Mytilus edulis: one gene and its partners. Each later gene encodes a partner of the first gene's protein in a complex. Links are inferred from orthologs where the notes say so. Each region holds a gene or a part of one and is shown in the gene's direction. Other genes may lie near its edges. The genes, in order: B9 domain-containing protein 2-like, transmembrane protein 107-like, transmembrane protein 231-like and jouberin-like.

Region 1 (7,413 bases):
CAAGATGAATAACCAATGGCACTTGAAAAATTCATATAAGATTAATTACTGTAAGTATCATCTCTCACCTTTGATATCCATTGCTAAGACTTGGTTGTATTGGTTTTGTATACCATGAACTTTGGTTAGGAAGAAACTATATGGTTGTCCTTCACTATAGACTTGATCTGGAGATAGAGGACCTGTTATGGATATCTTTGGCTTTTTTCTTGGTGGAGATTCTTGTGTGGTTCTACCACTCCCTGATGTCTGTTGATTATCATCTGAAACACAAAATGTTTCCTGAAGAATGTGATTCTATGATACTTAACTAAAACCAAGCTAAGATATCTTTTGTTTATGTTATACATTACAAAAGTGAACTATCAGAGGCATATATTTATTATTGTTGTACAATATATAAATGTTGAAATTTTGTTTAATTTTGATCATGGGAAATATCTCTACTTTTAGAGTACATGTAACAACCATAGCAATGGTTAAACATGCTTAGAGAAAGCATATTTGATTTCTTACAGACATTTTTATAGTCGAACAAGAATGTGATCAGTAGTTGACAAGTGGCTTTGAAAACTGCCCTGAAACAAAATGCTCAACATGCAATATCAAATCATGAAAAGTATTTCCATTCTATATCATAGACCTATTATTCAAATAATCTGACTTATTCCTTTCAGCATATAACTGACAAACTGACCTTGCTCTTTTACCACTAAACAATGAACAAGAAACAAGCAGGTTGTTTTTGTACAATGATAACAAATGTTCTTTTGTTAAATTTTACTACTACCTGATAGGACAGGCAATTGATGCAAATCCTCTTTTTTTAACTTTGCTATTTAATTACCTGGATGGCTGAATTCTTGAAGATGAGATGGATTTTTCCTGTAACATTTTGACCCATACTGACAAGGAGGTTTCCTCCTACTAACTGTCTTCTTTTCTTCTTCAAGTAAAACTGTCTGTTTTCTCTTCAAGCCACTAGATGGTGATGGTTTATAATCAGAATGTTTGCCTTTCTCCACTGGACTGTCAAATCTTTTTTTAATATCAACCTTTTCAGCCTCTGGACTGGAATCAATCTTATCTAACCAGTTCTCTATTTCTGTAAATGACTTAGTCTTTTTCTCAGAGGACTTAGTCACACTTTCTGATGATGGTTTTGTTCTCTTGTCATGTGACTTAGTCAAAGTTTCTGGTGACAACTTTGTCTTCTTGTCTATTGACTTAGTCAAAGTTTCTGATGATGGCTTTGATCTCTTCTCGATTGACTTAGTCAAAGTTTCTGATGATGGCTTTGTTCTGTTGTCTAGTGACTTTGAAAAACATTCTGATGATGATTTTGTTGTCTTTTCTTGTGACTTAAGCTTAGTCAAAGTTGCTGATGATTTATTACTTTGTTTAACAAGTGATTTAGATTCGTTTTGTTCAGATGTGGATTTCAATGAGTTAAATAATGAAGATTTTCCTTTCCCTTTAGAAGTCCCTTTCAAAATGAAATATTCTTCACTTTCCTCTTCAGACTCTGAAATCTCATGAACTTCACTTCTTCTTTTACTTAATGACGGAAGATTTACTGGTGATTTGTGTGGTGATTCAGTGGTCACGTCACTATCTTCTGGTCCAACAGTAATATCCGAGTCTGTATCAGATACATGATGACCTCCCTTTGCAGACATAAGATCAAAATGATTCCAATATATATATCAAAGTGTGGAATTTAATTTACATTTTTTTTCCTAAAAAAAATAAATTTACCATGAATTTTTTTAAATTACATACCATATTACAAATAGGTTATTTTTACCTCCTGGTAATAGAAAGGGACAACATCAGAAAGCAAAGGACAGTATAAACAAGGTTTGTCCCTTTTTTGGGAGGTTCTAGATAGAATAAACTCATCATAGATATAAGGATTCAAATTTTATATATATGCCAGACACACAATTTTCGTCTACAAAAAGACTCATCAGTGAAGCTGGAATCAAAATATGTTAAAAAGGCCAAATAAAGTACAACGTTGAAGAAATGACAATATTAATTTATGCACAAAAAACAATCTTAAATATATACAATTATCATTCATTAATAACAGGCCATTAATGGAAGGTTAAATCAATACGGAATATTCTACAAATTATATCCAATTGATTCTTATATACTAGTATAGGGTGATTCAGTTTTATAAAGGTCTACTTTAGCAACAGACACAATCCGATTTTTTGGGAAAGTTTTGTATACATTCTGTTGGCCTGAGCTGACAATGGCTGAGGTACAAATTATTCTTACACTAGGAAAGTACAGTACATAGTGTTGTTACATGTATATGCAAATTCCTTCTATCGATTCTATTTGAATGAATTAATATAGTAATCATTAAAGACCCATCCAATAAACAGATTACCTGTAACAACAGATTATGACACCTGTTGTTACCATTGATTAGTTTGGGGTCTTAAACAAAGTCATAATAGTTATCAAAGGTACCACTAGCAGAATTATAATTTAGTACGCCAGACACGTGTTTCGTCTACATAAGACTCATCAGTGACGCTCATATCAAAATATTTATAAAGCCAAACAAGTACAAAGTTGAAGAGCATTGAAGATTCAAAATTCCAAAAAGTTGTGCCAAATATATGGCTAAGTACGTAATCTATGCCTGGGATAAGAAAATCCTTAGTTTTTTTCGAAAAATTCAAAGTTTTGTAAACAGGAAATTCATAAAAATGACCACATCATTGATATTCATGTTGACACCGAAGTGTTGACTACTGGGCTGGTGATACCTTCCGGGACGAAATGTCCACCAGCAGTGGCATCGACCCATGAGTGGTGTAAATAGTTATCAAAGGTACCAGGATTATAATTTAGTACAGCAGACAAGCGTTTCGTCAACATAAGATTCATCAGTGATGCTCATATGGAAAAGCAATCTAATTAAAACCGATCTCTTATTGCTCCTGTTTCTGATGTCGCGTGGGAGATCTAACGAAACCTGCTTTGAGGTCACATGTGAGTGACCTCGTAGGTGTGTCTTTTTCGACCAATGAAATTGAGTCTTCCACGATCTTGAAAGTTTAATGAAAGGTAAAGGGATGTAACTCATTTTATTTACGACGAAATCGTCAGTCAAAATAATTCATAAACTTTTTTGATTGGCTTACTAATAGGTCATCAACTCATTTGCATATCATTATAAATTTATAACTTTTAGTTCACTCACATGTGACCTCAAAGCCGGTTTCGTTAGATCTCCCATGCGACATATCAGAAAACGGGAGCGATGAGAGATCGGTTTTTAATTAGATTGATGGAAAAGTGATTGTTGTATGATGTCAAACGTTCAAGCGGAACAGATTCCAGGGTCATGCCAGACAGATTTCTAAAAATAAAGAATTTATCAATTATTATCGTTATTGTTTATACATGTATTTAAGGTTCATCATAAGGAATTGAAAAATATGGCCGTGTTTACACCTCCAAAATTACTATGAGTACAGACAAACTGGTACATCCAGGAAAGTTTTAAGGCATGGCAGGAACTAGATATATAAAAGTTATATGAAGTCTACGTTTCAGAAAATTAAAAACTTACCTGGATTTTGATGTTCATTTTTTTCCAGTCTGCAGAAGATAGCAAAATAAACAAACACCCGAGTTTCATTTGATACGGTCCATTCAGTGACACAGTTTAAACCTGTTAAATCACCTATTGTTTACAGGTGTCTATTGTCCATTTAAATCAATACTACTCACAACATTCATTATATGAGGGGAGCTTCTCAATCGTTTTCACTACTTAGTTAATTTTTGCACCTTCTGCAGGAACGAAAAAAAATGGATAGCAAAATCTAGAAAAGTTTATAATTTTCTGAAACATAAAATGCATTTAAAATTTATATATCTAGTTCCTGCCATCCCTTAAAACTGTTGCAGGTGTATAGGTTAGTCTGTACTCAGAGTAAAATTTGGGGTGTAAATAAGGCCATTTTAGCCAAAAGGTTATGATGAACCTTAAAGCATTGGACAATGTGTTTTATTCCTTCTCCAGAACAGGAATTGGTTATTAGACGTAAAATGCAAGAGCACACGTGTAAATTTATATGAGAGATTGATGATTGTTTATGAGGGAGATGCAGGATGTTGATTATTTATAAGCTATGAATTTTACACTGACAAATATGATAAGTTGTCATTATCTTGATAGAACTCACACATGTGCCAAATCAGCATTTGTTTACTAATTATTTTCGGATGTTATTATTTCATATTTTATTTTTAAAAGCGTTTAACAAAGAGTTTCATTTTAAATAGCAACTAATTATTCATCCAAGATCAATTTATTTTGATAAATAGGATTTATGCAAAATACGAAAATATCAAATTGTTAATGTCAACAAAAATGGTGGACAGGAATGAACATTAACAATTTATTCTAAAGAAAATGAAATTTCCTGATATATAAGATATCAGAGAAGCCTAAATCAGAAAAGTTTTAACCATTTAATAACAAAATTACTGAATTCAGCATTTTATCTACTTAAATTACGGCGTGGTAAGCAAAAAGAGAGTTTAAAGTGCCTTGGCCATGTTCGAACTTGAATTTTCCTAGCGGGTTTTAATTACTTTTGATTTTTATGTTCGAAAAGACGGGTTGGGCATGTCAAATAAAATGGTTTGCCAATTTAACTACAAGATTCATTTAATTGCTTTCTTTCTGTTTGAAATATTTATCACAAAAGGAAAGAGACACCAGATGGTTAGAGTTATGGTATCAGGTCCGTTAACGCCCAATACACTTTCGCACCCTACACGTTTGCTCCTCGCAGGTTTGCACCCAAGGTCCGTTCGCACTCTACACGTTTGGGCCCAAAAAAAAACCACAAAAGATAATTGTTTTTGATAGCTTGGTCACTTTGATCTGAAACAATTAAACAATAAAATAAAGCAATACACTATTATAACCAAAACAAGATAAAATTTATTCAACACACAAAAAAAAAACGTAGTCAAAATCTCACTTAGTTGTTTTGAAACAAGTCAATGAAACAAAGTTATAGGAATACAGTAACCAAAACATGATTAAGAGTTATTCAACACAAAATAAAACGTTGACAGAATCCCACTTTATTTATAGAAAGGATTATATTTTTTTTAACAATACACTATCCAAAACATGATTAAGATTTATTCAACACAAAAATAAAATGCTGTCTCACTTTATTTTAAGACAATGACAAGAAGAATACTCTTACCAAAACTTGCATGATTACAAAAAAAACCAATTAAAATTGGGCGTGAACATGTAGGGTGCGAACAGACTTTGGGTGCGAGCATGTAGGGTGGGAAAGTGAAAGGGGCGAACATGAGTGGGTGCAAACGTGAATGGGCGCGAACGGATCCGGATTCTAGAGTTATAATTGAAAAATGCATATGTTGCAAACATTGTTTATAATACATATGTAAATACCAAAGAGAGAACTTTCTGTGTTATTCAATACTACATAATTCATAAAGCTATCACATGAATCCATTTACAAATTTCCTTAAAGAAGAAGACTAGTACTGCAATAATGACTTTGAGGCCACATCAATTTAATTCCTTATTTGACAGACCTGGCCGCACCTATTTTATTCGAAACAGAAATAAATTTTAAGATTTATATTCCTGCTTCCCGCATCCGGAAATATAATCCTGTCTGTTTTTTGGTAAATATTATAAAAAAATATTAACCCTTAATTTAAAATCACAGTCTTACCTGCTTACCTGTATTTAATGATTTTAAACCTATAAGCACCCCACCACACTATGTAAATGTTTTTGTAAAAATTTGATTAAACATTAAACCCATATATCCAAAGTGGGAGTGCTCTGATATAAATATATAACAAGGGGAAAATACCTGTACATTAGTTTTCTTCCCCCTCACCTACATTCCCGGCCCATCAAAAAATGTTCGTTGTCAAAATAGAGAATGCAGAACTTCTGAAGGAGAAGAGTTGCCTTCAACTGCAATTATATTGTATGCCAGCGGAACGAAACTATCCATACCCACTGCATGTTTATGCACCTGTCCGCATTGATTCTGGGTCTATTGTTCAGTAGTAACATGTATCGTTTGTTGGTGTGGTTCTGTTCATATGTATTTTCCCGTTTGTATATATATGTAAATTAGATCGTTGGTTTCCCTCTTTGAATTGTGTACACTAGCATGACTAGTAATTTTGGAGTCCCTTTAATTTGACTTTTGATACATTTTATACATAAAAATGTACAACATAAAATTAAGAATGGAAATGGGGAACATGAACATATAATGTACTTTTGGAAATGTATTTGAGAGAATTCAATTGAATTACATATATATATGTGAAATAAGTGAGTTTTAAATTGTGTAATTTTATTTTTTTCCTCCGACATAATTGAATCTTGAATAGAGTAATTGATTTATTTTTACAGAATCATGGCAGAAGTACATATCATAGGACAGATTCTTGGTGCTGATGGATTTCCAGATCATAGTTTGTTTTGTAAATGGGGTATACATACAGGTGTGTTGAAATAGACTTATTAAACAACATATACATACATTTTTTTAAAACTTATTTTGAATAAACTTTGACTAGTTCTTTAGAATTATAAAGACTGTGAAATAGCAAGCAAACATAAAAAACATTCAAAATTAAACTTACTTGTAGTCTTCAGCAAAATTTTGAAGAAAATAATCTGTTTGAAGAAAATCTGATTAGAGAATTTGTTTTGTCTGTATATTAGCCCTTTTTCAGTGTGTTATGATTGATTATGCAGTGTAACCTGACTTTTCTGACACCTGAGTGTTCCAACATCCTGCTTTAACCGACACATTTTCATGGTCCCAATTTGCTTAACCTTGCAAAAAAAAAACCTGCCAGAGTATTCCGACACCCTGCTGAATCCAACATTTTTTCTGGTCCTCCAGTATGTCAGATAACACAGGATACACATTATTCAAATTCAGTAAATAGTTTTCTTCATTGTTATTGACCTACATTGTATATCCATAAACAATGTGCATGATTAAAGTGTTAACTTACATTCACCAATGAAGACCACAAAGTCAAAGTCCAGTGTTAGTTATTTGTTTTTATACTATAAGATATTTTTTTATGTAAAACTACATGTACCTCATATATCAATTCATATTTATGATATATTTTGTATTATCAGGAGGAGCATGGAAAGCTTTGTCTGGTCTAAGAGAAGGACAAACACAAGTAGATAACCCACAAAATTATGATGAAGCATACTGGGCTCATCCAATAGATGTTCACTTTACAACCAAAGGTTTACAAGGTAATTTGTTCAATTAAAACAATATTAAATATTACACTTCAGTTCTTATCAAAATATCAGATTTTGATTGGTTTATA
Region 2 (6,856 bases), on another chromosome or scaffold:
CACATATAGCGATAAAACTTTGTGAATATATATATTATGTCATAATGAACATATTTAAACCATAAGTAAAAAATCGTGAATTTTCCCTTTAAAGAAGAATAATTGTAGATTTACTTTGTATTATAATTCAAGAGCAATTTTTATAAAAGAACCATTTAAATGCTAGAACTCAAAGGTATCATTTAAATTTTCAGAATTAATATATTATTAGCAAATGAGAATAAAATTTATTAATATATATCAAACTGATATTTTTTCTTTGAATTTCAAACAATACGTTCATTATAAGTTGTTTTTTTCTCCATTAAACATTATCAAATGGCACAATCAATGTATGCACAATCTAACAATACTCTTAGAGATAGAGTTGTTTATTTCTTTTGGACTGTTTTGTGAAAAAAAAGCTAAAAGGAAGAGGTTCTTCATACATATGTAGCACATAATTCCAAAGTTTTTTTTTATTCTGATCATTTTTTAGGTTTTAATGTAAAATTTGGATTATTCTAGATCTGATCCTAATAATTTCTGAAACACGAATTTGAAACTGTCTGAAATATCTGGAGAAAAAAGGATATATGCCGAAGCAAAGTAAAATAGAAAGTAAAAAATTAATACAAAAATATTTTTATGTCAAATAGCATTCATTAAAACATGTAAAGCAGGTACATTGGTTAAAACATATAGAGGTATCTGGACAAAGGTATGGACAAAACAATAGGAAAAACATGCAGCATATTATATCAGTGTTACTTGGAGCATATATAGTGGTACACTTGCTCACATGCTAGCTATAGCCTAGAGAAACTTTGAGATACCTGGGATTCAAAATTCCAAATGTGTACATTTCCATTGTATAAACTGGCTAACATCCATGGCTCTGTAGGGTGCAAGTCCACAGATTTGACACGATCAGACCTAGCTGACAGCTTCCGCTTTATATCCAAACGTAGCGGCTGAAAAGAATAATAAAAGTCAATAGTTATATACCTGAGATTCAAAATTCCAAATGACCACCTTGCCATCATACAAACTAGCCATCATCCATGGTTCAGTTGGGTGCAGACCCATGCTTTTAACACGATCTGATCGGGCTGTCAAAACCCGCTTTATATTCAAACGTAACGGCTGCAATACATAATTCATTAGATATTAGATGTTGATCATGTTTAAGTAAGTATATGTAAGAATGAACAGTGTAGAGCTGTAAATACTAGATTTCATATTATTTTAATACTATATATCCTTTCAACTGTTGTTTGGTAGTTCCTTTTAACCCATCACAGAAGTTCTCCAGATACAAGAGTACTTTTTCCATAACAAGAAGAAGAAGCATGCACAAACTTAATAACATGACATAAGAAAGATACATACATGTACATGTAGAAGACCATTGTTAATTAGAAATATATTATTAAAATTTCTGGTTTTTAATATTATCAACATAGGAAAAGTGGGTGACAGAGATTGGATTTTTATATCCCATATCCATGGTTTCGTACCTCATGGACAACTTATATGTACAATGTATACCATTTCTTATCTCATCATGTTAGGTTTGTATGTTTACCATTTTTCACCTCATGGAAGTTTTGTATGTTTTATTGTTTATCATTTTAGAAGGTTTGGATACTATAGGCCTCGACAATAACGCTTGTCCGATACCAGAGGGAAAAAAGGTCGGACAAGTAAAAGCTGTATCAAGCTTGTCCGTTGGAACAAGTACAATTATTCTGCAGAAAATAAATTTCATCCAACTTTGATGAACAAAGTATAATAATAAACAAAAAACAAAAATTAGTTTGACATGTTTCTGTATTCTGTTTATTGAAATGCAAAACCTTTTTTTTAGCATGTTTACTTGCAATCGATAATTTTTAACTTGTCCTTTGTCAGGTACCTTTTAACAGGTGAAAGGTACTCAGTGTTCTCCCCAGGGCCTTTTAGCATCATGGTAATGTGATGCTATAATCTTAAATGTGATGCTATTTGAATTGGTTTTCTTATAGATTATGTTATGGATGTGATGCTATAAATTTCAGAAACAAGATGGTATTTTAATTTCCCCTATTTACCAGGATGCTAAATGAAATATCTGGGGAGAACACTGGTACATTATACTATTCTCGGAAACCAGCCTTACTGATCCGAATAATCAATGCTGGGTTTTGTAGACTAGGTAACTTTACAGGACAGTTCTCACTTCGACAGGTTTAGCTCAAAGTTTAATAGACAGTTTGGCACCGTAGGAGACAAATTTAGTGGAAATGATTGATAGACACTTTGGCAAGGCAGGAGACATTTCGGGACCAAGACAAATCAGTTCCTCATTTTCTTTCCTTATTCTGTTCTTTATAATAAATACCATACAGGTAATTTTTTCACAAAAATATTTTTTTTTATTTTCCATAATTTTTTGTATTAACCATAATTTCATAAAATTCACAAAATCATATTTGATCATAGGTAAAAAAAAAACAATACTTGCAAAATGGTGACCTTTAGTTGTTAATTTCTGTGTCATTTTGGTCTCTTGAAGAGAGTTGTCTCATTGGCAATCAGACCTTATCTTCTTCTTTTTATTGATTGCATTTGAATAAACTTTTTTCAACTTAAAAAAAAAACCAGGATACAAATCCAATGAGTGTACAGGCCTATCAGATGGTGCCTCATGTTTAGAGTCTGATGAGACAGCTGGCATTGATGAAAACTAGAACCTAAGTCCTGTGACATGACTAGATTCAGTTGTACTTGACTCATATTTTTGAAAAGTATTTCAAAAGAAATACATCAAATTCTGTTCTATTGTTTAAATTCGTTTTGTTCCTTTAATCAACTTAAAATGTAAAAAGGTTATTTTTTATTAAAAAAATTTGGACAAGTAACAATTTCATTGGGACAAGTAAGTTTTGGTATGTACTTGTCCTACTGGCATGACTGGACAAGTTGAAAAAAAAGTTATTGTAGAGGCCTGTACTATTTCATTGATGTATGTACTCCACATGCACTTATTGTACAATTACTCAATCATGATTAAATTAATAACATTCAAGCGTTTTTGAGTTATTGTCCAACAAATTGACGACGGAAGGACAGACAACAGTATACCATAATACGTCCAGTAAACGGGTGTATAAAAACAAACAGATTTGATATTTATTAAATATTACTATCATTTACCAAGACTGTTGGTAAATGATACAAAATAGTTAACATGTATTTAGTTCATGAGGGACAAATTGATAGATGCTTTGGCCCATAGGCATAGGGTACGAAATACACCTTATCGCTATTTGTCTGCCATTACTGGATATCACACAGGTTCCCGTAAAATTTTGATGTCATAAAACAATATATCTGACGCCACAATGGAAAAGTGATTGTTCTATGCGTCAAAAGTTCAAGCGGCCGGGTCAGCCAGGATTAGCGATAAGGTGTATGGCAGTGCCCCAGTGGTACAAAAATGATTAGCTTACAACCAATAATGCATTATGATTATGACCACATTTCATAAATGACTATCAAATTAGTGTCGTTCTGCTTTACACTTAATGTCTAATTGCAATAATTTTCGGTAACCTACAAAATATGTAATGTTAAAAAATGTGTCAACAATGGTCCATATCCCCCCTTTTCACATTAAACGTTGATCTTTACTATATTTCGCCCCTAAACCTGACAGCTACTACATATCGAGAAGCTCATGCGTTATAAAATTCTAAAATAGTTATTCGTTACCATTCTCTTGGGTTATAAGTTTGTAAACAAATAAGTTTCGCCGGTTCAGTTTCAACCTGGATGAAGAGACGTGTCCACAGTGAATGCGCAAGCGTGACCGGACTCGGAAGTTAAACATGATTTGTTTGAAAATGGCCGCCAAACAAGCTTAGACATACCAATATTTTTATACTTATGCATTGTGTACATCGTGAATAGCAAGTTGTCATCAAAGACATAACCATTTTATTGTAAAAGCAAAACTGAATGGTTACGCATATTTAAGGAGTTAAAACAACACTTGGCAAGAATTCGAAGTATACTGTCGTAATTTGTAAATTCTTGGTTCCAACTTAATACAAATTACAAGGAAATTATACATATACTTCAGATATAGTCAAAATGAGAATAAGTGGTCTTGTTCCAGCAAGATTTCTCACAATTGTCGCCCATCTTGTGATAGTCATAGTTTTATTTTGGTCAAAAGTAAGTAAACTTTACACAATAATACTGTTTACAATACACCTTATCGCTATTTGTCCGCCATTGCTGGAAATCACACAGGTTCCCGTAAAATTTTGACGTCATAAAACAAAATGTCTGACGCCACAATGGAAAAGTGATTGTTGTTGACGTCAAAAGTTCAAGCGGACGGGTCAGCCGGGAATAGCGATAAGGTGTATACACCTTGTCTCTATTTTGTAATTCACCTTATCGCTATTTGCCCGCCATTACAATTTACTGGACATCATACAGGTTCACGTAAAATTTTGATGTCATAATACAAAATATCTGACGCCACAATGGAAAAGCGATTGTTGTATGACGTCAATAGTTCAAGTGGGACAGATTCTGGGGTCAGACGGGATTAGCAATAAGGTGTATCAGGTCCGTTCGCGCCCAATACACTTTCGCACCCTACACGTCTGCTCCTCGCACGTTCGCACCCAAGGTCTGTTCGCACTCTACATGTTCACGCCCAATTTTAGATCAAATTCCAGTTGAATAATTAGAAAATCATGATTGTTGTTTTAAACTGCATAGGTATTTAGCTTAGTAAAATGTATGAGTAAAACATTGAAGATTTTAAATGAAAAACACAAAAGATAATTGTTTTTAACAGCTTGGTCCCTTTGATCTGAAACAATGAAACAATAAAATATAGCAATACACTATTATCATGATTAGTGTATCGCTGTAACTTTGTTTCAATCATTGACTTAGGCCATAATAAATAAAAGGTTTGTTTGCCCAAACACTACCTACCAAGAAAAAAAGCTGCCTACTCAAATTCTTTTATTGTCCTGATTTAAATGATAAAATTTATTCAACACACAAAAAGAAAACGTAGTTAGAATTTCACTTTATTTTGAAACAAGGCCAGACTTAAAAATATTTTGGTTTGCCCAAACCCTACCCAAAGGTTGAGACAGTGGGTAGGTAGGTAGGCATTTTTTTTTCTTTCAAAAAAAGAAATTGAAGTATCAGATGTTAATTAGTCTTCATGCCTATTTGATAAAAAAAAAAAACTTCTTCAAATCAGGACAATAAAAGAATTTGAGTAGGCAGCTTTTTTTCTTGGTAGGAAGTGTTTGGGCAAACAAACCTTTTATTTATTATGGCCTAAGTCAATGATTGAAACAAAGTTACAGCGATACACTAACCAAAACATGATTAAGAGTTATTCAGCACAAAATAAAACGTTGACAGATTCCAACATTATTTAGAAAGGATTGTTATTTTTTTTAACAATACACTATCCAAATGAGATTTATTCAACACAAAAAATAATGCTGTCTCACTTTATAATGAGACAATGACAACAAATATTCTGATAGGAATACACTTTCCAAAACTTGATTACAAAGTTGTTAAACACAAAACCAATAAAAATTGGGCGCGAACATGTAATGTGCGAACGGACTTTCAGTGCGAACATATAGTGTGCGAAAGTGAAAGGGGGCGATCATGAGTGGGTGCAAACGTGAATGGGCGCGAATGGACCCGGATTCGTATCTGTCCAACCTGCAGTGATTTTGCTAGTGTTCCATCATTTCGTCATTCACAAAATGGTTTTCAAAATGTTGAAAGGATTTCAAATCAATTTCGTCTCTTAAATCATGACATGTTTGAAGGTCTAATAATATTTTTGTATAAAAAATATAATTGTGTTCAAGTTTCTGGCCCTGAGCCGGTAATTAACATTTACATTTGTACAACAGGTGTTACAAGTTGTGATTTGTAACAGCTTATCCGCTTATCACCATCCGATTGGTCACTAATGGATCATATTTAACCACAAATATAATTATGATAATTAACCTTCTTATAATAATTGTTTTCCCCAGAAAAATCAGTCAGTCAGCATTTGAACAACCACAATGTAGTACGTTTAGTCATTTCATGAAAATTGTTTTCTTCCAGACAGTTCAAATTTGAATTTCAATATTCCTCAAACAGTAACAAACTTTTTGAAGTTTCTATGTCATTGTATGTCATGTATGTACAATGTAGTTTCTTTATTTGAACGTATTTTCGACAAAATAAATTTAATATTGAAAGTCAATGTCATCTATTCTTCATTTTTTTTTACAACCTCCTTACAGTCATTTTAATCACTCTAATGAGTATTTGTACAAATCCTTAGTTCCAATTTACATGATTTATAAGAATTGTTTTCATGCCCCACCTACGATAATAGAGGGGCATAAGCCGCATTATGTTTTCTGGTCTCTGCGTCCTTCCGTCCGTCCGTCTGTCCGTTTGTCTGTTCGTCCGTCCGTCCCATTTCAGGTTAAAGTTTTTGGTCAAGGTAGTTTTTGAAGAAGCTAAAGTCCAATCAACTTGAAACTTAGTACACATGTTCCTTATTATATGATCTTTCTTATTTTAAAACAAAATTAATCTTTTGACCCCATTTTCATGGTCCACTGATCATGAACATAGAAATTAAAAGTGTGAGTTTCAGGTTAAAGTTTTTGGTGAAGGTAGTTTTCAATGAAGTTAAAGTCCAATCAACTTGAAACTTAGTACACATGTTCCCTTTTGGTTGATCTTTTTACTTTTAAGGCCAAATTTGATTTTTTACCCAATTTCACGGTCCATTGAACATGGAAAATGATAATGCGAGTGGGGCATCCGT
Region 3 (7,630 bases), on another chromosome or scaffold:
TTCTATTTACAGTATATGACTAGGTAATAATGATTACTTTTTTCAACTATTTTCATACTTTTTTGTTTCCTCTGCTTTTGTATCAAGGGCATAATTGTTTATGGCAAACTAAGCATCTGCATAATCAAACTATTCCTAACTATACTCTACCTCAAATTCTGGAAACTGCAGAATTTTTGTCATAGCAGTCTTATGGTAGCTGAACTATTTCTATTTTTTGTAAATCTGGATTAATAAGTCTTTTGTCACATTCTGGGGCTATAGAAAAAAAAACATTACAGAATTATCAAAATTATGTGTGTATAATGTTTGTGTACAGTCATTCAACTAAAAAAGGACAAAAATTATTTTTTTGTGTATAAATAAATAATTGTGATTTTAATGTCTAAATATTATAAAAAAAACTTCAAAAGATTAAATTTAAATTATAATCTAAACATAAAAGAGCACATATAAATCAACCTTTTACTCAGATTTATATCTAAAACCAGTTATAACTAGCTATTATATCTTTGACTTCACAAATATCATCATCTAATTTTACAAATCAGTATTTATTTGGTGGCACTTCCTGCACACTAAGTATGTTATGCCTTAGGTTTAATTTTGATGCAATCACATTTCAGAAGGTACATGTCTTGTACTGTTTTAATGAATAAATTACAGTTTTAAACTCAGTTTAGGCTGACCTGAGGTCAATAGTCTTAAACAATGTCATCAAACTATCAGTTTTACTGTAATATATTGATATTGTGACATTTATGGGAAAGAGCGTATGAGTTAGTCAAATTGGTCAATACAATGGAAAGTTTATAGCTGAGACTACTATAACACTATGTGTTATACTAGTAGTCTCAGTTTATAACTATGTTAATGTTAATTATATACATGACATAATAATCAAATCATTTAAAAAATTATTCCAAAGATTTCTCTCAAATCATGTTTATATTTTTTTAGAGAAGAGTCTGTCTGAAATATATTCAGGGGTAGTCCAAATAATTATGACTTCTTAAAAAGCTATATTATGGGGAAAAAGGGGGGGGGGGGGGTCTATTATGTTTTTTTTCATACAGGAGGAAGACGTCAAAGCAACAAAAAAAACCAACAAAACAAAAGAAAATAATAGCCTGTCAAGACGTCCTTATATCATAATAATTTGGTCTAATTTTGGGATAATACATTTAACTTCCTTTGATGTCGGGGAGGGGATAAGTTTTGACGATTAATTATTCTTGAAACTAACAATAATTATTTCTTATTGTTACTTTGTTAAGCGAGCGCGATGTGTGGTTCTCGAGTTATTTAAAAAAAAGGGGGGGGGGTTGTTACTATATCAAATTTACCCAGTTTGGAGACAATAAATATTTAAAATCTAACCATAAACTCCAATGTTCCTGCTTTTTTTAGCAGAACAAACACGATGGCACTCGTCTCTGTTATAATCAATAGTTAACTCATTTCTTCTTCCAGGTTATTTCTTAATCAATTATGATTATCAGCTGTCTATCTATTTACCATGTTTATGTTAAACTGGTCCGTAATTCCATCGTAGTGTATCGATAAGTGAACACAACAGTGATCCAGTTTATTAAACGTCTGTAAACCGAGGTATATAATATACAAGGTTCCTGAGTCAGTAACCGTAACTATCCCCGTGCTTTGTACGCATGCGCAAGAAACACCAACAACAAGGATAAAACAGGGTACACAGTTCCGTAATTTCGTATATTTTTCTTATCTTCATACTAAAGAGCTCCAAAAGTAGGCGTGCTTAGGTGCACTGGGCGGGTCTAAAAACCGACTCTCGGTGGTTAACGTCTCTCGATGGTTAACTTTAAGTGCCTACCGACAAAAACTAAATTCCTTCATGGTTATATCTTGCCATACGTTTATATTGGTTTGAAAGGTGATTACTCAAAATCGTTATTTGAAAATCCTGTTTGTGAGATGTATATTCATTTCAATACAGAAATTTCGTCTATATATTTCACAAGTGTATAACACGGAGAAGCTCTGAAGGTCCATTACTCCCCTTTTGTTTGGGTGTGAACCATCGATGTTGACAGCAATATCAAAGAATAAGATGATGATGGTAGAAAGAACTATGGGCGTCATGTGGCAAATATTACATGCATATCGGACAATGAGTTGTCAATCTGTATGAAAAGATTTCCAATACAACCATATTATTGAGAAGGAATGTTTACATGCTATACTCTCGTACTAGTATTACAGGGTTCTTGTGGCGTTCACCTTAGACACACATCTTTTTAACGATGTTTAAAAAAAAGACAGAACCAATTTAATGTCATATTTCCCTATTTTTTTTTAAATATAACTAAAAGTCTTTCATCTGACAAGATTACCCCTATTTAGCGGACAAGTTATTTATTCTTTTTTCTGTTATTGAATACCAAGAAAAAAAATAAATCCCGAAATTAATTTGAAACTTTGATACTCAAAAGTTTCCCAGCAAAATATTCACATCTCTTCGGGATAATTAGTGTTCGTCCAGTGGCATATATAACAATTTTGATGACGAATTCCTTCCTTTGTTCGAGAACAATCTTATTGAAATATAAATCTGTGATTTTACTATGTCCACAACTTCAATGAACCAAAGCAAAAGTTATACATCGACCTGTATTTAAATCAAATTGGTTCTCTTCTTCTTCTGGTATACAATAGTCTATCGACATTCGATGATTACATACTGTTGGCATACGTGGACTAGTCTATTTACAACACTTTTACCCCTATTTATTCAAAATATATGTTTTTTTCTTATGTTCAATGTATACATGTATATATTTTAAATTGCGCTATAGTTCCGTAACTTTCTATCCAGTCGTATAAACGAATCGTCGGCAAGTGCGTACATTTTTTTAAATCAATATTTCTGGTATGTTCCAATCTGTCCTTCACTTTTGACAATGAGTATATATTACATTTTCCCAAATTCACCCTTGGAAAAATATTTAAATAGATTTTAATTTCATCAAATCTTATTTTTTGGGTATTATTTATATTTTTATGAATAATATTCTTTACACCAGAAATGTTATTTATAAACAAGCGTATGAGTTTGGTAATGACAAGTAAGACAGAGTTGTATATTATACATCTGATAGTTCAAAATGGAAAATTAAATGTTATCAGCCGTGTACACTGATCAATACCTGCAGAAGTGAAACGATGCGTGAACTTGCAAGCCCGACAGGAAATCGCTTAAATACCTGGACGTGTCACCTCACACCCCTCACAATACCTTTGGAAGTAATACCTTTAGCCATGCTGGTGATCAGAAGAGGGAAGATCAAAATTTATTTGAAAACAGTTTATTACTTTAAAGAATTATGAACAAATTAGATTTTCGAAAACAATTTTCACGGAACACTTTTTATTTATGATTTCAACTTTGACTTGTCACCTAATTCCAAGTTTTAAAAACAACAGACCATGGTTAGTTAGTCGGATAAAACAACCGTACGATTGACAAGATATCGACACGCAATTACGACTACATCGGTTACTGTAGTTTTGTTTCTTTGTGGTTTATAGACATATCGTTTCATTAATCGGGAAAGAAGGACAAAATGGCGGAACGCAGATAATTAATACTCTAAATTTAAAATCGATGGTGATCGCTTATCTAGCGGAATAAAACTTTAATATCTATGAATTTGAGCATTTTTATACAGAATGAACATAATATCAATTTTTGATTTTTTTGCGAAGTTTCATTTTGGCATGATAGTGTTTCTACAAAATTCCGCTTGTGTTTATCTGTCGCCGAGAAATAAAAAAATCAGGTGTGTCTATCCAAAGAATAGAAATATAAACACATATTTTTTAGAGTAAATGTCTAAAATTTCGACCCCTTAGTTTATCTCTTGAAGTTGTACATTGAGGTATACATATTTTTTTATTACAAATCTGAATTGCTAAGGTGAAAAATAGCTTGTATGGGATCGAAACTGTATCGTATGCCCTTAAAGCCCTCTTTTGTTTTACTTGCCGTTCAATATTATATTGTTTGTTTCACAATAAGTAAATGTTTTTGGCTTTGGTTGTTCTTTTCGGTCTTCATGACGGAGTAAGACGAGTAACAAAGTTGTTGTCGGCTGGTAGAGTCGACACCAGACCCTCAACCACCTTGTCATATACCTTGTCATGTATATCAGGATCAGACGGAGGCTGTGTCTTCTTTACTTTCTTCTATCAGTTAGCGTTCGTCAATTTCTAGCTGACGTCTCATGATGTTGGTTATGGAATCGATCCTGTTTCTGGTCTCTTGTAGTTCCTTATGATGAATCGTATGCCTTTAAAAAATAAGCTGCTTCTCGACTGACTACTAAACTAGACTTTGTTCAAGTGTAGCGTAAATTACAAGCGGATTCCAGTTTATCTGAAAAATAGGTTCACGTACTGCTTTACTTTTATTCACCCTGAGCTAAGTGGCGAAAGGGTCGATAAAAACAATTTATAAATAAAAATTCATCAATTTACTCATGATGCAAAAAATACCAGTAATCAATCATGATTATACACAGAAAATAATGCACATATTTTTTTTTATTAATAATTCATTTATGTTATATCTTATTCACGTCGTTCCTGCTTTGTTTGAAAATGGCGGTGTACGAAGTATTTTCTCATCCAGAACTTCGACGTTACAAAACCCATATCTGTTCAAAGGCATCTATAATTCTAGTTGTGGTGTTGTTTGTTACAGTAATCCCTCCACTTTTCGTTGTTTATAGGAGTTATGGTAAGTGCGATGTAAATTTTTTTTTAAAAACCAAGATTTTTCACCAGTCATATCAAGTTGAAGCACGTTGACAAAACAAATTTATACAGATTCATGTATATATTTGTAAATAAAAAAAAAATGTTGACCAGCTTTCCGTATTGAGAGCGGAAATGGCATCGGTGATAATTAGAAAACTGATGAAACAACAATTTTTTATTGATAATATAAAGAAATTCAGACATAAGGCCACACCAATTTAATTGCAGTGGAGTCCCCGGTGTCCGTGCGGCCCGTGTTATCGCGCATTAGCTGATTTCGTCATATCAACACAGTTACACATACAAAATCGTTCTTGTTAATGTTTTAGCCTTCCGAAGGGATAAAAAAGAATAAAATTGATAAGTTCAAGAATTAATTAATAACTAAAATCCTGTGATTTACCATATTTGGCCAATTTCCATTAAAAAAATTACATCATCAGATAAAATTGGTTTTATTTAATTCAAATTAATATTAGATTGAAATAATTTTTGCTCTGCATCCTTGGAAGTGTGTTTGGTACAAACTCAGCTATATTTCGTAGTGTAAAATCTTTCCTTTATTCCAAATAAGCTATTTTTGGAAGGCATGCGCGAAATCACCGGACATTGGAGGAACTCTCAGAACAGGGGTTTCCCTAATTTTGGACACACATTACACAAAATCTAGAGGATGAAACCATACAAACAGAAGATTTTATGAAATAAAAGTATATTATGAATGTGTTCACACAAAATTATCCAATTATTGGTTTTATCAGTTGAATGAAGTGAAGTCATAAGTCTTATGTGCGCGGATACACCGGACTGCACCGTGCTTGTTCTACAGATTTTTGGACTCCAAAATTTGGGGCGAGCGAGCGATTTGAAAATTTTAATGAAAAAATATTTAATTTGCAAATTTTTGAGGCGAAGCTTGAAAAGTAAAGGCGAGCGATTATAATTTTTTTTTGTAAACATAAAATAGTAGGTTTTGACAACATTAAAACTTGATTTATCACTTGTACTCTGACATTTCTTTAATTTCAGAAGTGTTTTTTTCCTTGTTTACCAAGAAATAATTAAATGTGGTCTATGTATGTAATAATAAATAATAAATAAGCTTTATTTAGAGTCGGCAAGGTATACAAACATACATGTAGACAAAATGTGTGACTGAAATGAGACAATTCTCCATCCAAGTCATAATCAGTTTGGGGGAAACCCCTTAATGTTATAAATATCCCTTTTACATGTTTTATGAGGGATCAATATAAGTTATTATATATTTGTTTGTACAAAAAGGCTCATATTTTCTCAAAGAACTATATATCTATCTGGTATTAAATGGTAAAAACATGTCCAGGAATTTTGTAATATTCCTGGACTTTAACCATGTTAAATTAACACATTTACTTTATTACAGTTTAATATTATTCAAAATAAGTGGACCCCTCTTTTAGAAAAAGTACAAAATTGTAAGTTTTCAAAGGTTTTGTATAGAAGAACTATACATATCCTTGGTATTTCTTTTCTTCATCAGTAAAACAGTAAAATGACCCCTTGTCTGAGGGAGGATTGTTCTCAACCTGATAATAACAAACACAGGTCAAAGTACGGCCTTTTTAACAGGGCTTTGATACAGACCAAACAGAGCTATAAAGGACCCCAAAATTATTAGCGTACACAATTCGAACAGGAAAGCCAACGATCTAATTTATCAAAAAGGGAAAATACCAATGAACACCATCAACAAACATGAAACGATAACTGCTGAACGACAGGCCCCTGAATCAATCAGGACAGGTGCATAAACATGCTGCGGCTATGGATAGTTTTGTTTCGCCAGCATACAATATAATTGCAGTTGAAGACAAATCCTTCAGAAGTTCTTCATACTTTATTCTAACAATGAACATTTTTTGATATGGAATATAAGTAAGGGGGAAAGAAACCAATTTTTTGTACTTTACAGATATTTCTGCTGTTAATTTATCAATTTATATCGGAGCTGAAACAAATATTCTCACAGATATTTACACAGTGAGGTGGGGTGCTTTTATGTTTAAAATCGTTATATACAGGTTAGACTGTGATTTTAAAAACAAATGTTGATATCTTTTTATAATATTTACAACAAAAACAGTGCGGGAAATGGACATGATTGCATTTCCAGATGCGGGAAGCGGGAATATAAAAGAAATAAAAAAATTCTGTTTTGAAAAAAATAGGTGCGGGCGGGTCTGTCGAACAAGGAATCAAATTGGTGTGGCCTAAAAGATTCATTTTCTAAGAAAAAAGGTTGAGGTATTGTCCTTTACAGTGTGTAGCAGATTATTTAATAAAAAGACAACTTTGTTATCCCTTCATGCTCCTCTGGTACTTGTGACCTACATGTACAATGAATTAGAGAACTTACATCATTCTAACTATCGGCAGCAAAATAAGTGTGTTACTTCATTTAAACGTGATAAAAGTTGCCTCCAGTAGATATTTACCGGTAATCCATTTATTGCTTTAAAAAAGTTTTATTCCTTTCCAAATAGCTCGTCAAACATCTTTTATTTTTGTAAATTTTCTTTCATTCATCCGTTATTGACCGTTTACTAACTACGGTCAATGTTACTTCATTTAATCATGATAAAAGTTGCCTCCAGTAAATATTTAATCCATTTATTGCATTAAAAAAGTCATATTCTTTCCAAATAGCTTGTCAAATATCCTTTATTTTTGTAAATTTTCTTTCATTCGTCCGCCATTGACCGTTTACTTACTACGGATCGGAACCAGACCAGCTATGACCAAAATCCGTGCTTTTACAATAATAACTACAGACGCATGCAGTGTTCCAGCTAGG
Region 4 (6,938 bases), on another chromosome or scaffold:
CGACACTTGGAACACTTGTTTCAATAGCTTCCTTGTGAGCAGCAACCCTCTATCAATGAAACCATGGTCGGAAACACAAGCCCTGAAATATTGTATCAATTGAAATATATATGCTCGGTATGCAGGCGCTGCTGGAATGTTGTTACATAGAAATTGGGAAGCTGAAATCATCTCTTCTGTCGTACAGTTTTGTTTTCAACCGAGTCTCGTCAATTCCTAGATGTTAGTCAAGATGTGAAGCAGAATTTACTGTATCTGTTGTATATTTTATCTCAAGTTCCATGGGGGGCGGTAGATGCGTTCAACACAGTTACCAAAATTTGAATTTTTATTAAGTGAGAGAACATGATCTGTATATATATAGCGGAAAGTTAAGTAAAAGGATACTGTTTTTCTTTCTTCCAAGGAAATTCCTGCATAAAACCAGCCTCATGAATAAAGGAACAAGTCGACAATAACGAGAGCACCGTTGGTTCCGATGGAAATGTGGATTCTTTGTTGAAAAACATGTCCTCCGAAGGTAACAAAGATGTTGTCTATCAAGAAATCAAGCATCTTGACAATATCAGTAATTGATTTTTTTTGTTTGAATAAGAGTGGTGTTTTACAAGGTACGATTCATCCGAGAATTTATCCCTCCTTCAGACAAGATACGTGGATCTACTTAAGCCATTCTTTTTCGTGAGATAAAAACATGACAAACTGTTTCAATTTGTCTTTAAGTTTAATCAAGCATCTTGACAATATCAGTAATTGATTTTTTTTGTTTGAATAAGAGTGGTGTTTTACAAGGTATGATTTATCCGAGGATTTATCCCTCCTTCAGACAAGATGCGTGGATCTACTTAAGCCATTCTTTTTTGTGAGATAAAAACATGACAAACTGTTTCAATTTGTCTTTAAGTTTAATCAAGCATCTTGACAATATCAGTAATTGATTTTTTGTTTGAATAAGAGTGGTGTTTTACAAGGTACGATTCATCCGAGAATTTATCCCTCCTTCAGACAAGATACGTGGATCTACTTAAGCCATTCTTTTTTATGAGATAAAAGCATGACAAACTGTTTGAATTTGTCTTTTAGTTTGGAATGGGGAATACTTGTGTAAAGTAAAGAAAAAGTCAAATGTTTTATTACTAAATTGTAAGATGCATGAGTCCTAGACTGTATGAGCTATAAGATATCTTTGGAATGTTTTAGTGATCCACACCAACACTAGAATATGAACTTTCACAATAACTTTGAAGTCCGGCTTTGATTGTTGATAAAAATTTATGTAAAGAATTTAGAAAGAGGTTTTGTGGAGCACTTGGAAGACCCAGCATTACAATGTTATTTCAGTTTCTTTTTTAACATTAAAATATGTTAGAATGAAGAAAAAAATGATACGGACTTCGTTCCCTTTCACATGTAACGCCTGCGTCGTATTATATATTATCTTAAAACTACTGAATAATTAATATTCAAGAGCCCTAAGATTTGCGCAACGGTACTATAAATATAAGATGGTATTAAACGGAGACGATTTAAAAATAGTTTAGTGACAACCATCTTCATCTTATTATCGTTCCAGAAACTTAATACTATTAGACCAATATTTGTTTTCCTTAATGTGCGCAGTATCGCCGATTCTACTCGATTCGGTGCTGATTAAATTTGCTGGTTGGTCCTTTTTAAAGACTTTTCAGTTACGTGCCATATATTAATTGTAATTGTATGTGTATTGAAGAAACAACAAAAGAACTGCCAATGTTTACCAGCACTGGAAACATGATCTCATTTATCTTTAAATTCATTTTCTAATATTACAAATTTATTTTTTAATATTAAGAAATCGTGGGTTTTTTTTTTCTTTTTTTCATGTTAGAAATTAATTTCTAAATATGAGAAATTCATTTCCGAAAATAAGAAATCATTTCCGAAAATTATAAATTCATTTCTTCATATGTATTAGAAATTCATTCTCTAATATTAGAAAATGAATTTTTAATATTAGAAAATGAATTTTTAATATTAGAAATTCATTTCTTAATGTTAGAAATTCAATCTCTAATATTAGAAAATGCATTTTCAATATTAGATAAAATAATTCTTAATAATAAAAAAATGATTTTTTAATAGCAAAACATATCTTTTTTTGTCAACGTTGCCATACTGATCGATTCATTTCGTATATGAGACGATATCTGCAAAAGTATATTTCCATGTTCCATCTTTTACCAGCAATTATTTTTTTATTAGTTTAAACATATTTATTTATAGTGGATTGGGAAACAAGTTTTATGCAACTTATATTTATCCCTTTCCACTTCAGTTGCGGGTGCGAGTGCTGCCTTGTAGCGACATTAGCCTGCTCTTTTTCGAAATCTACAAGAGTGTCTTTCACCATGTTCACGTGCAAGAGATATGGCTCTCTCTTAACATGGATCAGCAATTTATCGTCCCCTTCCGACGGACTATCATCGTTTCCTCAAGACCATACTCGCAAATAGTGACAAGGGATAGCCGAAAATTCAATCCCTGAAATTTTCATCCCGCAACGGGAATCGAACCAGGAACCTTTGTGTTAGTAGTCCGATGCACTATAACCACTACACCACGGCTCTCTATTTTTGTATTCAACCAGATTTTTTTTTAATTTTAAGTTTCAGTATTAACTAGAGTATATAATGCACCAACTATTGCCAATTAAATACTCTTTCTTATATTTCTTCCAATAAAATATTATAATTTGAATATTCAACCCCCAAAAATTCTTGTTGTCCGGTGGTGTTATCTGACAACTAAATCATTCAAAGAATATCCAAATTAAGTAAACAGGCTTCCGATTTTCACAAATATGATAGATCATATAGAAAACTTGTCCCTTACTGGTCTGATTTTGTTATAACTGAAGCATGTGATAAAATTTTGCATTTTTAAGGGTCTTTTAAATTTTGTCTCAAGGGGTAATTTCCCTCCTGTTACCACAAGTTTTTTTCACCTGTGGAACCGTTTGAAAGACCAAAATTCGATGTCTTGTAATGTAATGCGAATAGCATCATTTCCTGAATGTTTGACTCCATATGTATAGGTGACTGGCAGCCAGTTTGAAAAATCCTAACTCCCCAAAGAAAAGAATTTAGGAAGAATAATTTTGTTGTTCTCTTCTGTTAAAGTCTTTTTGTGTACCTTCTGAGAATATTTCATTGTCAGCACCATATAACAGTAAATGTGTTTTTATAGTATCTTATTAAATTGATATGTAGATGGAGTAAAATTCAACACAATTCATATAAAAGGACAAAAACTTGAGTACTGTGTAATTCCTTTCTGTTACGTTCTGTCATGATATACTAGTATACCACAAATAGAATCTTTAACTTATTCTTTATTCCCATTAGGCAGCAACCATTTGATTTTCGGGGGGGAAGGGGGGCTATGGATTCAGTTTGTCCAGACAAACTTTTTTGACAAAAAGCAATCTACTTTTTTGGCCGACAAGTCGAAAACTGTTTGAATTACAGACAACAGTTCCTAGATCCTCAATTTGTGTTCTTCGATTTGTGCTATTTAAACTATGTTAAAGTACCGGTTTTAAAGACATTTTTTTTCCTATTGCCAAACTGAAATAAGACATTTTCATATATTGTCTCATATAGACTTAGTTTGATTTTTATTCGTCGGAAAACTCTTATAACTTCTGACATCAATGTAGCAATAAAGATGAGACCATCAATGTTAGTCATGCTCGGAAACGGTATTTAATAATGATATTTGTATTAATTTGTTGCCCCCCCCCCTTTTTTCCACCCCGTCATAATCACTGTTAAAAAAAAGTGTGGTTTATGTCTTACTGGACAATTTAAAAAGAGTTCAATGTTAATTTTATAATGATAAAAAGTGATCAGCAGAATTAGATATAATTTATAAAAGTGATGTTGGTCATTGATAATATTTCAACCAATCGAATGAGGCGTTATATCTGGTTGCCAAACGTAAACAAAAATGGCGGATGAAGGTAAAGTTTTGAAAATTTACACATGTTTTAATAGCATTTATCACAAGTCTGATATTATTCACAATTTTACGCACTGTCTAGTGCAACAATAATAAACAGGATATACACAATTCTTGTAATAATTGTAATTTTGTGTAAGAAACAACAAAATAAATGTCAATGTTTACCACAAAAACATGATCTGACCTGAATTTTTCAATTTTTAGGTTGCAATCTTTATATTCACTCATTTCGTATAGATTGAGTTTGATTTTTATTCGTTGGAAAACCTTTTGACTCTTATTAATTCTGACATAATAAATTTTATGTATCGATAAAGATGAGACTATTCATGTATAATAGTTTGACAGTTTTCTTGTAAAAAAGGGTTGTGCTATTTAAAATCTTTAATCATGTTAATTGAGAAACGTACGGTAATTGAAACTGAACGAAAAGTTGGCAAAATCAAATGAACTGGATATTTAAAATGTAGTTTACTTTCCTCTAAAACCTTGCTAAAGTAAATAGAACAAAGTTTATATATTAGATAATAGATCATACCCGTCGAGTAAAAGCCAATATTGGAGGTGGGTACAAGTCAAATCGGCACCCATAGAAAAAGTCAAATCGACACCTGGTTAAATCGGCATCTAGTCAAATCAGCACCTATTTAAAATCAATTCGACATCCAATAATATTTGATATAATATATGGTACTGGGACTATTATGCTAAGTTAGTAATTCAAGTATACTAGCATAATAGTCCCAGATATATATAAATAATTCTAAAAATGTTTCGCATATTTCTGTTAATATTTTCACAACTATATGATACAATCTAATAGTGAGAATTAATACAAAAACATTACCACAAAAAGACTTTTTATGGATATATGGTATCAGGAGAAAATAAAAAATAATAAAATTCGAATTTAAACCATTCAGGTATCCTCATTTCCATTGTGAGGACAAGGAGAATAGCACAAAATGTTAGGTTGAAGTATATACATTTGAATTTAAAACATTGAACTAGAACATTTTTAAAGATAAACTTGTATCACCTGGTGTAAGAAAATGTGTGTCAAAAAACTTATAACTTGTACAAAAAAAACCTGTAGTACAAACTTACATCTTGTACACAACATACAATGTAAATATTAAACAAATTTAACATGGGTGCCGAATTGACTACATCAAGTGCCGATTTAACCAGGTGCCAATTTGACTAAGTGCCGATTTGACCAAGTGCCGATTTAACCAGGTGCCAATTTGACTAGAATTCCTTCGACGTAACAATACAGATACAGATACATTTGTCATATAACATATCTAATACATTGTTGTAAGTCTGAAAGCAGGGAATACCTGAATCCCACATTTCCTGACTTGTGCCCAACCTGTTCAAAGACAAAGTAGATAGATTTTAAAGCACGATTCAGACCATTTTTACTTAAAGTCTTTAAGATTTTATCCTTCAAACAGGAACACTGTCAGAGGTTAGACACAAAACATCTTTCAACCCACTGAGTGCATCTTGATTTGCTTTGTGTCTAACGCTACTTGTATGATTGAAAGGTGTATATTGTAGTCAAAATTTATTACTTTGGTTGGCAATAAGTTGAACTTATTATAACATATAAATAAATACAACAATAGTATACCACTGTTCAAAAGTCAATAATTAATTAAGCTAAAACAAAACCAGGGAAATACAAATGTACATTAACTATATGACTACATTTATAAGACATTCTAAGAAGAAACCAACCGGAACAACAGAAAACTGAACTGCAACAAAAACGAACGCAAACATGAAAACAATTAATAATAAATGCCATTTTCCTGGTACAGGACATTTTAAGAAAACATGGTGGTATGAACCTGGTTTAATGGCTAGCCGAACCTCTCTCTTACATTGTATATGGCAATGTTAAAAATATTGCTAAAATTACAACATTTCATGCAAGCATTACAAATAAACAAAAGATAGAGAAATACACAAATAAATAATATAATACTACACAACAACATATAAACCACAGAATAACAAAGGACACCTCCGATGAATCAGAGTTCTCGTTAAGACGCGTATACAAGTCATTTTTGAAACTGTGAGTCCCAGGAATGCATCCTGATTGTATCCCCTGAGTCCCAAAAACATTGTTTTGCCTATAAGATTTATGATTGTCGACATTGTTTTGACAAGAAACTTAATGGAGTCGATGTTGAAATTATTTGTTTTAAATGTGGCCCTACACCAAGAATTGATAGACCAAGAAAGAAGTCTGTTATATATTTTGTAATGAACAATTACTATTAAGAGATCATAATTTTTATAAATATCTAATAAAAACTACAATTTAACATGCATTGTTTTAGTTTTATTTCGTCATATTTCATTATATTAAGACGCAAAAAATAATATTACATGCATCCTGGACTCACCATGAAAAATTCCTAGTGAGAACCCTGATTATTTATTTTTTTATCAAATTTTCACCACATTATTTGCAGTGAGAAATTTTCTGATTTTTAGTGCCAACTCCTTTAATTTCCACACAATATTACAAGTTCATGTAAAAAAATATTCTTTTCTATTCATGTACAAAATGTATATATGACTAATGTATTTATAACCAATATGTTATATGTTATACATACATGTACATGTATAAAGCAGATTTGTATTATTATTATACTTTTAATTCCTGTTATTACTTTTAATTTCAATGACAGCTGCAGCAATTGAACAGTCCATCAATTCAATAGAGAAAGAATGTATATTATAAACCTACAAAGTAATTGAAAAGTGAAAGTGGCAAAATATTGTTCTATCAAGTTCAATGTATTTATATACTATTTTTATATTTTCATTGCCCATTGTACATCTGTTGCTGTTAGTATTTTTTGTCATGTTTGTAGTACATTTTATTTGTCCGACCGTCAGCTGTGACAGCT

What was found.
Region 2: B9 domain-containing protein 2-like (region 1) and transmembrane protein 107-like share a complex: the UniProt entries of both Homo sapiens proteins name them as parts of the tectonic-like complex. The link is inferred for Mytilus edulis from reciprocal best matches to the Homo sapiens genes B9D2 and TMEM107.
Region 3: B9 domain-containing protein 2-like (region 1) and transmembrane protein 231-like share a complex: the UniProt entries of both Homo sapiens proteins name them as parts of the tectonic-like complex. The link is inferred for Mytilus edulis from reciprocal best matches to the Homo sapiens genes B9D2 and TMEM231.
Region 4: B9 domain-containing protein 2-like (region 1) and jouberin-like share a complex: the UniProt entries of both Homo sapiens proteins name them as parts of the tectonic-like complex. The link is inferred for Mytilus edulis from reciprocal best matches to the Homo sapiens genes B9D2 and AHI1.

What each region holds. Positions count from the first base shown.
Region 1 is NC_092346.1:49,637,421-49,644,833, reverse strand, and holds the start of B9 domain-containing protein 2-like, read left to right. Parts: upstream 1-4,384; 5' UTR 4,385-4,558; intron 4,559-6,463; 5' UTR 6,464-6,467; coding exon 6,468-6,555; intron 6,556-7,210; coding exon 7,211-7,336; intron 7,337-7,413. Other genes in the region: tyrosyl-DNA phosphodiesterase 1-like, read right to left, coding at 69-263, 848-1,679. UniProt on the Homo sapiens protein: Component of the tectonic-like complex, a complex localized at the transition zone of primary cilia and acting as a barrier that prevents diffusion of transmembrane proteins between the cilia and plasma membranes.
Region 2 is NC_092356.1:64,949,445-64,956,300, reverse strand, and holds the start of transmembrane protein 107-like, read left to right. Parts: upstream 1-3,851; 5' UTR 3,852-4,116; coding exon 4,117-4,200; intron 4,201-6,856. Other genes in the region: coatomer subunit beta'-like, read right to left, coding at 816-1,025. UniProt on the Homo sapiens protein: Plays a role in cilia formation and embryonic patterning. Requires for normal Sonic hedgehog (Shh) signaling in the neural tube and acts in combination with GLI2 and GLI3 to pattern ventral and intermediate neuronal cell types.
Region 3 is NC_092348.1:50,344,728-50,352,357, forward strand, and holds the start of transmembrane protein 231-like, read left to right. Parts: upstream 1-4,613; 5' UTR 4,614-4,635; coding exon 4,636-4,774; intron 4,775-7,630. UniProt on the Homo sapiens protein: Transmembrane component of the tectonic-like complex, a complex localized at the transition zone of primary cilia and acting as a barrier that prevents diffusion of transmembrane proteins between the cilia and plasma membranes.
Region 4 is NC_092344.1:20,716,274-20,723,211, reverse strand, and holds the start of jouberin-like, read left to right. Parts: upstream 1-3,908; 5' UTR 3,909-3,987; coding exon 3,988-4,000; intron 4,001-6,938. UniProt on the Homo sapiens protein: Involved in vesicle trafficking and required for ciliogenesis, formation of primary non-motile cilium, and recruitment of RAB8A to the basal body of primary cilium.